4 linked regions of the Cricetulus griseus genome follow. The protein of the gene in region 4 purifies or fractionates together with the protein of the main gene of each other region. This does not show direct contact. Links are inferred from orthologs where the notes say so. Each region holds a gene or a part of one and is shown on either strand. Other genes may lie near its edges.

What was found.
Region 1: the proteins of Rnf146 (region 4) and Parp2 purify together in Homo sapiens (affinity purification with mass spectrometry; 4 studies listed by BioGRID and IntAct, counting the BioPlex papers as one, with this or other methods). This does not show direct contact. The link is inferred for Cricetulus griseus from reciprocal best matches to the Homo sapiens genes RNF146 and PARP2.
Region 2: the proteins of Rnf146 (region 4) and Hltf purify together in Homo sapiens (affinity purification with mass spectrometry; 4 studies listed by BioGRID and IntAct, with this or other methods). This does not show direct contact. The link is inferred for Cricetulus griseus from reciprocal best matches to the Homo sapiens genes RNF146 and HLTF.
Region 3: the proteins of Rnf146 (region 4) and Lig3 purify together in Homo sapiens (co-immunoprecipitation; 3 studies listed by BioGRID and IntAct, counting the BioPlex papers as one, with this or other methods). This does not show direct contact. The link is inferred for Cricetulus griseus from reciprocal best matches to the Homo sapiens genes RNF146 and LIG3.

The regions. Positions count from the first base shown.
Region 1 is NW_023276807.1:206,482,362-206,485,139, reverse strand, and holds the end of Parp2 (poly [ADP-ribose] polymerase 2), read right to left. Parts: coding exon 2,762-2,778; intron 2,606-2,761; coding exon 2,506-2,605; intron 2,027-2,505; coding exon 1,928-2,026; intron 1,722-1,927; coding exon 1,597-1,721; intron 1,163-1,596; coding exon 1,003-1,162; 3' UTR 898-1,002; downstream 1-897. UniProt on the Homo sapiens protein: Poly-ADP-ribosyltransferase that mediates poly-ADP-ribosylation of proteins and plays a key role in DNA repair.
Region 2 is NW_023276806.1:127,935,903-127,940,491, forward strand, and holds the start of Hltf (helicase-like transcription factor), read right to left. Parts: upstream 2,965-4,589; 5' UTR 2,785-2,964; coding exon 2,765-2,784; intron 1,398-2,764; coding exon 1,190-1,397; intron 1-1,189. UniProt on the Homo sapiens protein: Has both helicase and E3 ubiquitin ligase activities. Possesses intrinsic ATP-dependent nucleosome-remodeling activity; This activity may be required for transcriptional activation or repression of specific target promoters.
Region 3 is NC_048600.1:96,192,335-96,196,389, reverse strand, and holds part of Lig3 (DNA ligase 3), read right to left. Parts: coding exon 3,586-4,055; intron 1,295-3,585; coding exon 1,151-1,294; intron 1-1,150. UniProt on the Homo sapiens protein: Isoform 3 functions as a heterodimer with DNA-repair protein XRCC1 in the nucleus and can correct defective DNA strand-break repair and sister chromatid exchange following treatment with ionizing radiation and alkylating agents.
Region 4 is NC_048595.1:247,899,659-247,904,293, forward strand, and holds the start of Rnf146 (E3 ubiquitin-protein ligase RNF146), read right to left. Parts: upstream 3,183-4,635; 5' UTR 3,074-3,182; intron 2,387-3,073; exon of another isoform or gene 2,327-2,386; intron 1-2,326. UniProt on the Homo sapiens protein: E3 ubiquitin-protein ligase that specifically binds poly-ADP-ribosylated (PARsylated) proteins and mediates their ubiquitination and subsequent degradation. May regulate many important biological processes, such as cell survival and DNA damage response.

The sequences.
Region 1 (2,778 bases), on a different chromosome or scaffold from region 4:
CTGCTTCCTCCGGGTCTCTGACTGGCATCTCCTTCTGTCTCTCTGAAGCCTAGATTCCTCCTCCTACTCTCTCTGCCTGCAAGTCCCACCTATACCTTTTGTCTAGCTATCGGACATTACCTTTTTATTAGACCAATAAGGTGTCTTACAGCATGCAAGGTAAACACATGCAACACATCTTTATATAATTAAACTAATATCCCTCAAAAGGGCTGCTACCAAAAGCTGTAGCCCAGTTGTAGAGTGGCTTTTTCCATCTCAGATGATCCAATCAAGAAAATCCCTCATAAGCATGCCCAGCGGCTTGGGTTTTAGCTGATTCCAGATGTAGTTAAGCTGATTTACTAAGATCAGCCAGCACAGGGCTCTGTAACTCCAGCCCCAGGGGATCCAGCTCCCTCTGCTGGCAGCTGCACTCATGTGCACGTAACTACACAGACACTTCATACACATACACATACTTAGAAGAAAATCTAAAAAACAAGTTGAGTGTGGCTGCATGTATCTGTAACCCCAGAATTTTGGGTTCAAAGGGCTGAACTGTTGGGGCTTGCTGGCCATCAGCCTTTCTCAAGACTCAGTAAGAGCCCTTGTCTCAAGAGGACAGTGTTGGGGTGGGCTGTGGCAGTACCCACCTTTAATCCCAGTACTCCAGAGGCAGATGGATTCTGGGTTGGAGGCTATCCTGGTCTACAGAGTGAGGTCCAGGACAGCCAAAGCTATATAGAGAAATCCTGTCTTGAAAAACCAACCAACCAAACAAACAAAAAGGACAGTATGAAGAGTGCTAGAGCACACTCTGACAACCTTCCTCTGGCCTCCATGTGTGCACACATGCATGCACACCACACACAAAGAATATGTGTTTGGAAAAGTAAAACCCAAAGAAGCCAGAGGTAGATTTATACTATTTTATTAAACAAATGACCAAAAAGTTCAAAAATGTAATATTGCTGGGTTTTGTTTGAAGATTGAATCCTCTCTTGCTTATTTAATCAACATTTACCACAGCTGCAGAAAATTAAATTGAATCTTTAGAAGGTATCGCATATGGACCTGGTTGGGGCTGTAGACAATAAACTCATTGTAGTTGAGGGTATACCCCTCTGGATTGAGAATTCCTGTGTCACTTGCTGGTCCTAAGGGCACTGTACTCCCATTCCTGCCAAATGGAAGAAAATGTGTCAACATTAGTATTTGGTCCAGAATTTGAAATAGACAAGTAATTCTTTCTTTCTTTCTTTCTTTCTTTCTTTCTTTCTTTCTTTCTTTCTTCATTTCAATCCAGTTCCCTCTCCCCCCTCTCCTCCTGCTCTCCCCTCCTTCCCCCATCCCACTTCCCTAGGATGTCAACTAAGTTTGTCTCTTCACCTTGTTGAGGCAGGACCAAGGCATGCATCCCCCCACCCCCCATGTCTAGACTGAGCAAGGTATCTCTCCATAGAGAATGGGCTCCACAAAGTTAGTTTATGCACTATAGTTAGATCTTGGTCCCACTGCCAGTTGCCTCATACGATGCCCAAGCCATACCATTAGACAAATAATTCTCAACAATTTGAAAGAAGTCTTCCAGCAGCCTCAGCTCTGGGTACTTACAGGGTGATGAAGTGGTCAGGGTTGGGAGCTATCTTTCCCAGCCCCTTGGTGCTATGCTTGCCCTGAAGCAACCCTTCTGCCTTAGGATTGGCCTCCAGTAGCTCATTACACTGACCTAGAGCTACCTGTGAAGCAAAAGATCCGTGAGTGCCTATACCCAGTTCAGAGGCAGGCGATTCCAAAGCCATCCAGAACATGCCAATTTGTATTTTATTTGTTACTTTAGCAAAAGAATCTAATGCAATGGAGATCCCATTCCAGGTGTACCTCTTGAATCCAGAGTGCAATTTTCTCAGTGAACTAGAGATCATAGCCATGTTCCCTGCCTTACCTCTGATAGAAGAAGCAGTCCTGTGCTCTTTAGGGGAGACGCAAAGCAGTAATTGGCACTCTTGGAAGACATGTCAGCAAAGTAGATTCCTTTCCCAAACTGAAATACATGAACAAAAATGGAGATCAGCTGTTTAATCCATTGTAGGAGAAGGTTCTGGCATGGTGGTCCAAGGCTTTTACCCCTGGATTCAGGAGGCAGAAGCAGGCAGGTCTTGGAGTGTGAGGCCAGCCTGGTCTACACAGCAAGTTCCAAACCACCCCAGGTCACAGTGAGACCCTGTCTCAAAACAACAACAAAAACTCAGCAATGACCATGAGGTTCTGTTCCCATAAACACAACATGGTCCCTCCCCTACTGCCCTTTCCTATTTAATTTAAGAAACAACCAAATAGCCACAAATCTCTGCCCTATCTTTTAGAATTTAAAGAAGAGGGACACAGTAAGAGATGAGGTGGTTATCAGTGAGCTGTTGTAACTCTTTCAGATTAGTACCACCTAATCTGGATTGGGGGACCAAGATCATCATTGTATCTTTTTTTCCTCTGGGCTCCTTCTAGAGGTCAGTTTCTACTTACCATATATCCTGTGACGGGAGCCTCAGGTGGGGCCACTCGGAGTCCGTGGCTCAGGATTCCTACCCAGTTACTCAGTCTGGAACCATGCCAGAGTAGCATCCTAAGAAAGACCTGTTATTCCACTCCATTGTTCTCCTAAAACATCTGTCATAAATACAAAAAAACCCAAACAAAACAGCTGCCCCCGCCACCTTCCAAGCTCCTTCACTACACTTCAGGCAAGGAAATGTCTACTCAACCAGAGCTGGACTCAGACCTGTTAGGAAGGTCCTT
Region 2 (4,589 bases), on a different chromosome or scaffold from region 4:
TTAACAAGCTTTATCATAAAGATACAAGGGAAGGGGAAAAGTAACAAAATCAACAAGATTCCGAAAAACAGACCTTGTTTTTGACACACAAATATGTAACAGGAAACAAGAGTGGACCTTACAGCCCATAACAGCCAAAGATAATATATTAACCCTGTTTTGAGCCTGATAAAAATACAGTTTTAATAATCAACAGAATCCAATTATTGATTGCTATGAAAATGAAACATAAAAACTAAGATGTATTTTATTTTTAATCATGTATACTTATGTATTCTATATGGGGGTATGTATGAGTACCCATGTATGCCAGAAGAGGGCACAGGACCTCTGGAACTGTAAAGGGAGTAGTCAGTGGCCAGCCATGAGTGAACAGAACTCCAGTCCTCTGCAAAAGCAGCCAAATGTTCTTAACTGCTGAGTCATCTCTTCAGCCCACAAACTGAATTTTAAAGAAATATATACTGAACTATACTAATATAAAATTTAGTATTTGTTTTTACAAAGATAAAGAAAAAAGAATAAAACAAATATAGAAAATACTTGATAACCTCTGACTTACTCTAATTTTATGTTTGAAATTTTCTCATGATAAACTGGATATTAGAAGTATTACCCAAATAACAAAGATGGCCATAATGAAGATTACAGTGCACAAAATTATATATATATAATACATACACACACATATATATATACTCTCAATCTGTCCTCTTTTTCTCACGAGCACACACACACACAATCAATTAGAGAACAGGAATAAATCGAAGAAAGAGCAGGAGCTATTCTATTGCAAAAATAAAGAACTCAAAAGTAAATAACTTATCTAATAAAAATTGATAGATTCGAAGTTGCTTCCTAAATTCAGCATATATTTTCTTCATTGGGACAAATCATTTAACCATCTACATCTCTACCTTCCATTAAGGAAGAGAACCTCAGTAATTACAAGAATCAAATGTCAGTATGGGCAAAAGTGCTTTATATACTGTAAGCATGGTACAAATGTACAAAATTAATCAAAGATGGTAAAGGTATTTAGAACAAGCCTTTGAGTGACATATTTCAGTCACTCAAAGTAAAACATTAATTGTATATATGTATACATAATATGTCACCATTTAATATAATTTACGGTTAAAACCATATGCATACAACAATTTTATTTAGTATCTACTCTTATACTCACTACTCCTGTGTAATAGCGCAGTCCAACAACTTGACCTCTCAAAGTTCCAAATAAAATGGGATCCAGCTCTTCATCACTAGTTAGGAAGTCATCTGGAGGGATAACGTCTTGGAACTCAAAACGTGGAAAGAAAGTTGGGTATGAAAGTCTTGGAAAATTTCCATGGGCTCCATATTGGACAGACTGCAAATACTTCCAAACAGGATCCCTATTAAAAAAAAAAAAAAAAACACAAAACAAAAACAAAAACAAAGCATACATTAAAACAATAGAACTTTCGGGGAGTTAGTGGCACACGCCTTTAATCCCAGCACTTGGGAGACAGAGACAGGCGGATCTCTGTGAGTTCCAGGCCAGCCTGGTCTCCAGCTCGAGTACCAGGATAGGCTCCAAAGCTACACAGAGAAACCCTGTCTCGAAAACCAAAAACAAACAAACAAACAAACAAACAAAAAAAAACAGAACTTAACCAAGTATTTCTCAAAGAACACAGTCAAACAGTATTTTCAGGCCAATCACTTCCTTACATTTTATTTTAGCAAGTGAAATGTTATGTGGCAAATACCACTTAACAATTACCCTGGCTAAAGCAAGAGCCGAGTAGGTAAAGCTACCAAATCTGACCTGTTAAATACTGGAAATTCTTTCCTGCGGAAATCTATTTACATTAAAATGTCAAAATCTTCAATGCCAACTAATGAAGAAGAGATTTATAAAAACAAAATTACCATTGTATATGTTTTTTTTTTTCTTTTTGTTTTTTTCGAGACAGGGTTTCTGTGTAGCCCTGGCTCACCTAGAAACTCACTCTGTAGACCAAGCTGGCCTTGAACTCAAGAGATCTGCTTGCCTCTGCCTTCTGAGAGGTGGGATTAAGGTCGTGCGCCCCATCGTCTGGCTATGAAAATATCTTTAGCCTTCGACATAAAGCATTCACAGCTTTAACTCCTGCAGAACAGCTATCTAAACTATGACATCATAGGAAGCTGACCTGCAGGCCCCCTTACCTATCTATCCATCACCCTGTTATTTTAAAGGTAACCAATCTTAAGGATCATTATTACAGGAGTGGGCATAAAAACCGCTGCAGGTGATCAAGTGATGTTTGCTGGAAGCCTTCTACAAGTTGTCTTTCCCCTAAAAGCACACGGGGCTATCCTTTGGGAGTCCCCGCTTCAGCTCTCCTCTGCAAGCACAGGCTCCTGCTCACTACTGTGAGACACTGGGTGTCGGGCTGTCTCGGAGCTGTCACGGTAACAATTCCTAGCGTATGGCGAGACAACAATGCCTAGAGCACAGTGGGTAGCCAATAGGTGTTCTGATGAATAAAGCTCTTCGGGTGGAGCTTTGGACCCCCACAACCGGTGATGGAGACCTCCCGAGGTGCTGGCAGCAGATTCTCGGGTCAGCCGAGACAACGCTTTGCGCAAGCCACACGTGCAAGCGACCCGGGGAGGGCATCCAAGCCGCACCTATCTTATCTATCTATCTATCTATCGTCCGCCCGCCGGGAGCGGGTTCACTGAAGACGGCGCGGGGCCCCGGGCCGCACGCCCCACCCCCTCAGCCCTTCACCTCTTGAACATCCAGGACATGGCGCCGGGCGGGGTGACCTCGGGATGCCCTGGGCGCCCGGACTTTCTCAGGCCGCCTGAAAAAGTCCCTCAGGGTCTCGCGGCCCAGGGACCGGGAACCAGATGCGAACCGCGAAGAAGCGACGCTCCAGACGCGGGTTTATTTAGAAGCCGACTCCCACTACTTCAGCAACAGTCTGAGAGGCCAGTGACGTTTTGTGATCGGCACTGAGATTGTCCAATCGGAATGAAGAATCTCTAAATACCAACCAATCAGGGTGCTAGAGGGTGGGGAGCTCCGCCCCATGCAGCGATTCAAAGGCAGTGGAGTGTTGGGGAGGTTCCATCCGGGTTCTTCCGCGCCCCGAGGGCGGTTGCGCGGGAAAACCTCGAGGTCTTTCAAGTGAGCCACTTGGCTAAAGGTTCCCTGCCCGCTGCAGAGGAAAGATTTCTTCCTGCCACTGCCCAAAACCATAAGGCTGTCTGTCCCCTGAGGTCTGAGCCTCCTTCGCCCACCCTATCTGAGATAATGCCTAAAGGGCCTCCCCTAGAAGGAGGAGCTCATTTCCTCTGAGATGCCCTATGTTTGTAATTAGGAACCTCGGTGTGTGGAGACCCTGAGTCCTAGAAATCTGAGGAAGAACACAATTTCCCTTTCTCACCTTATTTTCTAGTGTTTAAAGACATTTTCATCACTTAGTAGAAGAAAGCCATAAAATAGGACAGTCTTACAACTCTATTGCTGAGACTGGTCCAGCACTGGTGTAAGGTGAGGTGGCAGCTGTGGCCACTTGCGTTTTTTCTCGGGAAATTGAAGGAGACACTGTAAGAAAAACTTTATAAAGGGAAATTCGGCCTTAGGGTTGTGTGTGCATCAGTAACAGCCAAGGTAGAGGTGGTTCCTGTACCGTGTGTTAGACCCCCGAAAACTCAAGTATCTGGGGTCCTAGGCCACATTCGCGGTCACCCCAATCACCAGGCAGATTCCAGAGCTTGCTGCAAACTGCACGAGGCTTTATTGTAATTTAACAAGCTAACCCCATGTTAGCTCGGGTCTTTCACCCACCCGCCATGGCGGATGGCTAGCAAAAGACGCTCCTAGGGCCTCCCAAGAGATCTTATAGGACAGCGGAAGGGGAGTGTCTAGGGGTACGCACAGACTCAGGATTGGTGTGCCTCCAGGCTTGGAGGGCTTGCCCTGTGTTGATTGGTCAACTGGTTGTTATGGCCCATAGGCCCTCCCAGGGTGGTTGCTATGCTCTCCAAGTCATTGCTGTGCGCTTGTCTGTAAAGCACACCCAGGGTCGTAAAGCATAGCGCCACCAGCTAATTTCTGATTGGTTCCTTGTCACGAGGCAGGCATCTGACTTTCTAGTGTCTGGGACAAGGTCATTATGGCTGCCAAAAGGGAAGCTGGTCCCTTCATGTGAAAGACCACAAAAATACTACTGAAGTAGTCTTTTAACTGTTGCCGCTTCACCTGCACCTAAAATAGGAAGCTAGTGGTGGTGCTGAGCCAAACAAACATAATATGGTGTGCTGTAAACCATCAGAATTGCTAGATGTGTTTGTGAATGTTTTAAACACTGACAGCCAACCTTCCAAGAGTAGTTCATTTTGTGATTCTGTTGGCATAGTATGAAAGGTAGGTGGCTTGTGTGTGTTCGTTGTCTTACAAAATGATGATCTGTGCATTATTTAAGTGAAATGAGAGTATTTCAAGTGGACCACTGGCATGACATTGTGGGAAATACTAATGTCAACAACAACAACAAAAAAGAACAACAGACAAAAAACAATTCACTTTAACAGGCTTGGAAGGCAAA
Region 3 (4,055 bases), on a different chromosome or scaffold from region 4:
TTCTTTGAACCTTTAAATTTCTCAAGTCCAAAGGGTTTCATTTTATTATTTTCTTCAGCTGAGCCAGTCATAAGAATTGTTTATCTCAAACAATAAACAGAATATAGGGTATATATGATAAATAACACACTACTGGGACAAACAGACATCAGAGCAATAATAGCTCAATTGTGAGCCTGAACTTCAGTTCATTCATAAAATGTGCATAATGAGCAAGACAGAAAAGCACTTATTCAGGTTAAGTGAAGAACAAAAGCCTGTAGATGAATGTTTTCTCTTACCTATAGCCAATAAATGACCCTCTCAATTCCCATTGAAGCACAGGTTCTAGCAAAGTTTTACTGATTCCAGTCCAGGAATAGTAGTTTTGTTATACAACAGAAACAACTTACGTATGTGTGTGCATGATTACAAATTACTGTTTGTTTATCTTTCCAAGACATAAACAAGAGATAGGGGATGGAGTCTGAATCCAGAGCCTATTAATTCCCAAGTCCACCTGCTTTATCACTGGGCTCTACTGTCTCCCAACAAAACATGACACCTGTCATTCAGATCTTCCTTCTGCCTCCTCCCTCATACATCTAAACTACAGGGATACAGGGACAATGACTATCAGGGGAAATGAAGGAAAAATGACCTGTCCTCCCACACTTCCATCTCCAGTTCAGGCAAGTTTGGGGACACTTCTCAGAATTCTGTCATTGAAAAACAAGTAGTAGCTAAGTAGGGGTGGTGCACACCTTTAACCCCAGCAGGCAGGCAGATCTCTGAATTTGAGGCCAGCCTGGTCTACATAGTGAGTTCCAGGACAGCCAGGGCTACACAAAGAAATCCTGTCTCGAAAAACCAAACCAAACCAAACCTAACTAACCCAACTAACCAAACAACAAAACACCAAGAAGCAAAGAGCAGGTTAGAAAAATCTTTTTGATCCTGGTAATAACTTCAAGTAGAAGTCTTGACAAAACCAATATGTTCCTACTACAATAGAGAAATACTATGCAAGTAGTCAGCTGGGGTTGGACTGCCCCAGACAGAAGCCAGTTACTGACACTCGGTAATACAGTATTTTCACTTAGTCAGAGACCCAAAGAAGACACAAACAAAGGAGAGCCTTAAGAGCGAAAGTAGCCTTAACCCATCTTACCTGAAAATCCAGAAAATTTCCGAGGATTGGTACTGGTGACAAACGAAGCACCTTTCACTGGGGATGACACCTGGCCAGTGGTTGTCACCTTAGCCTGGACAGCGGTTTTCTTCTTAGGTGTCCCAGCTGCCTTAGAGGACAGGTCTATAGGACCCACACAGAACAAAAATGTCCTTCAGAGAAAGACTGCCGAGGAAGCTTCTCGATTTTATCAACAGTTTTCAAATCCTTGCTTGGTAAGTTTCTACTGCACTATGACCCCAGGCTGGCTGGTCTTTTTGAGTGTTGGGAGGAGGTAAAAGAGTATTGTACAGAGAACAAAAAGGTATTTTGGGGATCATTTACCTCTATTGGTAACTTGAATTTTCATCAAAATTCCCCACCTCATATTTAATATATAATAATTTCTTCTTCCTTTTTTTTTGTTTTTTGAGACAGGGTTTCTCTGTATTGTTTTAGAGCCTGTCCTGGAACTCACTCTGTAGACCAGGTTAGCCTTGAACTCACAGAGATCCATCTGCTTCTACCGCCTGAGTGCTGGGATTAAAGTACAGATTTGGGGAAACCAAATAATCATTTATTTATTTTTAAAGATTTTTATTTTTATGTGAATGGGTGCTTTGCATGCATGTATGTGTGTACCATGTGTGTGTGGTCTGGTGCCCAGGGAAGCAAAAAAAAGGCACTGGATCCATTGGGATTGGATTTACATAACCATGAGCTGCCATGGGGATGCTGGGAATTAAACTCAGGTCCTCTGGAAGAGCCAGCCACCTTTGCTCTTTACTGCTCTCCAGCCCCAGTAATCATATTTTGATAGATAAAACTTGGGCCTAGCTCTGTGAAATAGCCCCAATACATAGAAACAACAAAGTAAAAATGAAGAAACCAGAGCATGCCTTTTTGGCACAGGTAGAATAATTCCCGTTGACTACCCTTCCCCCGAATGAGACAGAATCAGTTAACAAAGGCCAAGAATAAGAATAAAGGACCATCGTTAGAGCCACAGCCTTTAGATCTATTACTCTAGAGACTCTAAGAGTCCTCAGATATGGATATAGGAGTAAGCATGTATGTGTGGATATATGTATGTGATTTTATGTATATGCATGCATGTATCTTTCTAGTTGTCTGTTCTAAGGACTTAGCCACAAAGATATAATATGATGACGAGATGTAGAGCATCCAGATTTTGTTTTCCAAAACTGTTTTCCATTAATGGGAATTCAGACCCCCTCAGAGGAATGGCTACCACCACAGCTAGGGGAGGACACATAGAAGAAAGTCAAGAGCATCCTCTTATGCCTAATGCATAAGTACTTATAAAACATGGTCCAGCAGGTCTTAAACTCACTCCTGAGTGTCTAGGACTGCAGGCTTGTGCCACCTCACCTAGCTAAAATTCAGTGAAAAGTATTTGCCAGGCATGGCCAGCAGACGGGTACAACTTCAGGACTTGAGAGGCTAATGCAGAAAAGACTGAGAGTTTAAGGTCAGCTAGGGCTACACAGCAAGACTGCCGGGGGGGGGGGGGGGACACGGACAGACGGACAGACAGACAGACAGACAGACTAGAGTATGCAGGATATAGAAGCCACCCTAACGGGACTACTAGCTGGCCAAATATGGAACAAGTCAGTACCATAATGAACTGTAAGTCTCTGGTGAAAAGTAGTAATCTAAAAGTTGGTAAAGACATCAAGTTGACAGCTAAAATGGTGGTAGTGATCTTTTATTCTTTAAAAATATCAACATCTAAAAGAAAGACAGAGAGTACCAGACTTGGTGGCACAAGGCTGTAATCTTAGTCCTGGGGAGAAGGCAGGAAGATTGCTTTGAGTGTGAGGCCAGCCCAAGCTACATGGTATGGCAAGAATACATCTAAAACCAAAAAGACACTCTGGAAATGCTGCAGAGTAAAGGAAGCCAAAGAGACATGACAATTAAATGCAGTACCTAATCTGATTCTAAACCTGCATCCTCAAATGGAGGAAAATGTACTATTAAATTATAGCGTTCAGTCAACAGACAAAACAGTATACAGATAAGGAAGTATTGCATCAAGGGAGAGTTTACTGAGGTTAACAGGTAAACTATGATCATGTAAGAGAAGATCCTATTTTTAAGATACACACTGGAGTACCTACAGGGCCTGATGACACAACTTTCTCTGAGTGGCTCAATAAAAAAATAAGCCTGATATGTAGAGAGCGAGCACATAAACAGAAATGAGAAAGTAAAATGACTAGTATCAAGAGGGAAATCTGTGTCAAGAATGAGTGTTCTTGGTACTAATTTTATTCTTATAACTATTCTGTGAATTTGAACTTATGTCCAAGCAAAATGCACAAAGAAAGAAATATCCTAGCCTCTAGTCTCCTTGTGCCCTATTCTATTAGCACCAGCAAGCCGAGAAACCAGGTTCTAAACCCCACCTGCAATGTGCTGGCTGATCTGTTCCTTTTCGTCATCTTCCAGCTCTTCCCAGCCTTCTAGCTCTGTGAGGTCTTCAATTTTTTTTGTGGTAGCCCGAGCCCGCTCCAGTTTCTCAAATATGCACTTAACATGGTACCACTCTTTCATATCGCCCGCAGACTCTGAGAAGGGATTGGGCACCACTTTGCCAATGCGGCATACGCCCTTTAAAATCTTCTCCTTGCATTTCTTGCAACCAGCTGTGCCCCTCTTGGCATAGTCCACACAGAACCGCTGCTCCGCCATCTCATAGGGGCCAGTATAGAGTCCCACATGCGACCCTGGGAAGAAAACAAGGTGGGTGGCACGTGGTCTTAGATGACCTCCCTGGAAAGATAGGACAGGCTTTCTTCTCTGGAGGAGGCAGCACCCACGAAGGAGATCTGTTTCCGACCACTGGCTGAACTGTCTTATGACAGGCCAGTGATTC
Region 4 (4,635 bases):
AGAAATAATTTAGCAAACATACATGATTCAAATATACAATTCCTCCTACAATAATTTTTAAATTATACACCAAACTCAACACAAATTAAGAAAGTAACATGAAAACAAGGTTATTTGGTCCTTAGCAATTGTGGAGTAAAAAGTAGTAGACTGTATTTATAAAGAGGATTACAGATTAGTAATGAACTTAGATCTTTATCAATTAACCCAGTTAATTTTTAAAAACTTTAAAAATAAAGCCACATTTTATTACTTAAAAAGTGTAACTACTAAAGAAATTCAAACTGCAATTACTTGGATACACTGTTAATTCCTGATGTAAAGATTTAGGATTAATAGCAATTCCATTTATCAAGTCATTTACACTTTTTAAAAGTCCACTGTCCCTAGATAACCGACTTGAATAAAATATTGACCTTTAAAAAATAAAAGAAAAACAAGAATATATAAAACATAATTAAAAACATAAATATCAAATTATATATGCTTGAACACTTTCTGTTTTCCCTATTTAAAGAATTAAAGAAACAGTTTACTCTTTATTCAAAATACACAAAACAGGATATATTGTATAAAAAAGGTGTCAATGATGGGGTACTACTTCAAACCTCCCTCTGTATACAAGTTTACCTACATGTGTATCTATTATAAACACAGGAAAAGAGAGCAGAGGTCAGGTGGGATTTAACACACACATCTTGAAATTTCTTAAAAAAGATTCCCAAATTCACAGGCATGTAACTTTTGTACTTCATCACATCAGCTTTCAAAAAAAGGGCTAAGTCGAATTGGAAACAAGTGTTCTGTCAAAACTCAATTTCAGTTAAATGTAAACAATATCATCCTATGACTACCGACTGCCTTCACAGTCTTCATATTTAGGTGTAAATCTTCAAATTTCTTCCCTTCGAAGTGGGTTTTGCATTTACTTCAATAACTCAGGAAATATGAATGTCAACAGACACTTTAATCTCATCAATCAGGTTTCATGGCCAGCAACCATTATGTAAATAACAAAGTCCTCTTATTAATTAAGATGTGAGACCTTGGTCAAGTCATCACTACGTATTTGTTGCTTCACCCTCTCCTCTGTGATTCTACAATTTTAAATGTTTTAATTAAGAGGCCTTTAACAACAGGCTTTGTATTAATTAACTAAGGTGAATGAGAGAGTACAAATTAGCAAAGGAGGCTGTACACCAGTGTAGACATAGTGTCTATCCTCAGAAAGACTGTTTCTAATCCGGCCAACAGTTCCACAAATTCCCTCTGTTATCAAGAACCCAACTGGGCAAGAGGACAGAAAAAAGACTCAGTACCTTCTACCTCTAATTCTTGCAGGAAAATATTTGTAAGAATCAGTAACAACTGGTTAAATCCGTCAAGCACATATATGGCTAACAGAAAATGTGTCGTAAACAGATGAATATGAAAAAGTTCTTCCTATTATGTTTTTTCAGGTCAAGGAATTATCTTGAATCCTTTAAAAACAAAAAAGAAAACAATGCAAAAGTGACTCTTATCACTTGACGAGTCTCCCAAAAGAATTTTTTTTTTTTTTTTTTGCATTCCTCTTATCTAATGACCAGCTATTTGGGATGTTTTCCCATGATTACAACTCTACTCAGTTCTTCACCAGCAAAACAGAAATCTTCAAACATTTAAGCACAAGGGTTTTCATTCTGCCCACATTACATAGGCCCATTTGAGACATAAACCCAAGTGTTCCACTGTATCATATCCAAGACCCAAACACATCCCAAACTCCTTTAGTGTGGCAGTCACTCTCGAGTTTTCTCTTTAAAAATGAGATTTAAGTGACCTATTTTCATGTGTTTTCACAGCACCCAGGAGCTTTGCTGCTAGTTTGTATGGGTCATTTCCTTCATTTGTTTTCAATATGCCATGTCCTTTAAAAAGTCTAATATAGGTCATTTACTGAAATGTTCTACATGCTCAAATTCGATGACAATATACAACTTTCAATAGCCAAGTTCCAGGTGCACATCCCGTTTACAAAACAAGGAAGGCAGACACACACACACACACACACACACACACACAAACACACGGCGGGAGGGGGTGAACACACCCTAGCACCTGAAATGTCAATCAATGAACAAAGCCTTTTCTATCTCCTTTGACTTTCTTCTTCCCTAAGTTCTTGTCAAGTATTTCGGTACTGTTAAAAAACAAACAAACAACAAAAACAAAACAAAAACCCCAAAATGTTGAAAACTTGAGAAGTGCTTAAACAGCACCCGGAGAAAAGACAAAATATAGCTGTCAGAATGCGTGTGCTAACTCACAGTCCGGAATCTCTTACCTAAGTAGAGGACGATTCCATTTCCATATCCTCAAAAACAACGTAACCATGCCTTTCTCTCTTAAAAGAAAAAAAAAAAAAAAAGAAGAAGAAAAAAATAATAATAAAAACAACACCGCTCAGGAAAATAAGACAGCCAGAACAATGAGGATCCCGTGCACTCCTAGATGGGGTGGAGGGCAAGGGAGAGAACTCCACACCCAGCAACCAGAACAAAGCGACAAACGAAACGGGGATCTTCGGATGCACCCGGGTAGGGAGGCCCCGACGCGTATTCCGACACCTCGGGGTGGTTTCAGGTTTTGGGAGCCATCAAAACAAGAACACTCGGCGGCTTCCGCCAGCGCGAGGAGGAGGGACGGCTCCGGGCGCTGGGCAGGCTAGCAGCACAGCACAGCACAGCACAGCACAGCAGCAGCAGCAGCAGCAGCACCGCAGACGGCAGACAGAATGCAGCCCGTGGCTGCCCGCAGCCCGGCCGAGCCCCGCGGCGCTGCCCGCAGCCCGGCCTGCGTAGTAATGGCCGGGGCCGCGCCCGTCACGCTCCGGGCTGCGCCAGCTCGCCTCCCTCCGCGCGCCCGTCCGGGCCGCGCTGGCCAAGGGCGTCCCTGTCCTACCGGCCCCGACCCGCCGCCGCTCGCCGCCACTCCAGGCGCCGCCCCGCAGCCAGCGCGGTCGCAGCGCCACCCGCCGAGGCCCCGCAGCCCTCGGACACACGCGCTCCCCACCGGTCCCGCCGGTGCCCACCTCTCGGCCGCCGCCGCAGCCACCTCGCAGCCTCTTCTCCTCCGCTTCGGAGCCCGCAGCGGACGGGGACGCGCGCGGCCGCCACGTGACGCCCGGCGCTCGAGGGGGCGGGGCCGCGCCGACGGAAGCCACGCCCCCACGGCGAGCGCGCGCGCGGCGCCGGAGGCTGGCGGGCGGGCGGTGCACGCTCTGCCTGCAGACCTCTCTTGCCCTTCCCCGCGGCGGGGCGGCTCTCTGGCCGCGATCCCTCCCATGCTCTTTGTGCACCTTATCACCACCTGGCTCTGACACTGTGGGGTGCCACCAGAGAGCACTGAGCGAGGGAGCTAGACATCCGGGACCAGGAAGAGGAGCTCTCCTGAAATCCAGCCTTCTGACCCCAAGAAGCCCTTGGGCCAAGCCCTAAGTTTCCAATTGAAGTGTCCTTAACTGCTTGTTCCTTATCAAGAAGACATCTGCAAAGACTCGGCGTGGACTGGATGGTCCCCTGGAATGCTCCAGTTTATTCACTCACAAATGGCTAGGAAATTTAATGGGGGAGGGGACGTGTTGGGGGTCTCAACAAGTCTTTTGTACCCTAACAGCCTAGGAAGCTAGAAGAGGAAATCAATCGACTTAAGAATCTAGAGTAAGTTTTGCCGATTCATTTGATGGCAAGCATACAGTTTTAAACATCAAAATCTAGTCGTTCGTTTTTACCCACACATGGTCTTTTACAGAGCTGAGTGAGTTTTCTCAAGTTGTAGTTAAACTAGGTGGATTAGCGGGGCCTCGTCACCTTTGAAAGTATTTCCGCCTCCTGTAACTGTTGCATTGTGCTTGCAACAATGTTGCATTTTGAGGTTTATTAACTGTCTCAATGCCAGGACTGTAAATGTTTCGGGTGCTTATATGATAGCTACAAAGCACAGCCTCTGCTCTTAAGGGAAAGGAGGAAGAATTCATGTGGAGACAGCCATGAGTAACTGAATCCCGAGCATGGATTCGGGCTACTCAGTCTGTTGTTCTAGGAAATATTATTACATGAACTTTGTATAGCCACAAAAAGGGAAGATTATACGTCAATGTATTATCAAATATTTTGGTAGGGGTAGTCCATCGGGTAGCTGGGCGACTGTGACAGAGCATATTGTTTAGGTTTCGGTGCTATAACGTTGGTTTTATAATTGAAAACGAACTAGGTATCTAGTGGTAGGGTGTTTGCCTATCATGCTTGAGCATCTGGATCCAATCCCCAGTACCACACTGGGTACGGGGAATAAAAAAGGAAGCTACTGGCCAGCTAGGTTTCAACGTTGTATTCCAGTCAGAAAGATGTTAATTCAGATGATACAGGGATTAAGAGTAAATGGCGACTATGTGGGGGCGGAACAAATATTTGGCTCTTGTTTGCAGCATTTTCCTATACCACTATTACAAAGTTTAGTCAGCCAATCAGTTCACAGCATCTTCCATATACGTGTGCTTCTTTAGGGAAGCGCGTGCGCATGCGCCCTCTCTCTCTCTCTCTCTCTCTCTCTCTCTCTCTCTCTCTCTCTCTCTCACACACACACACACACACA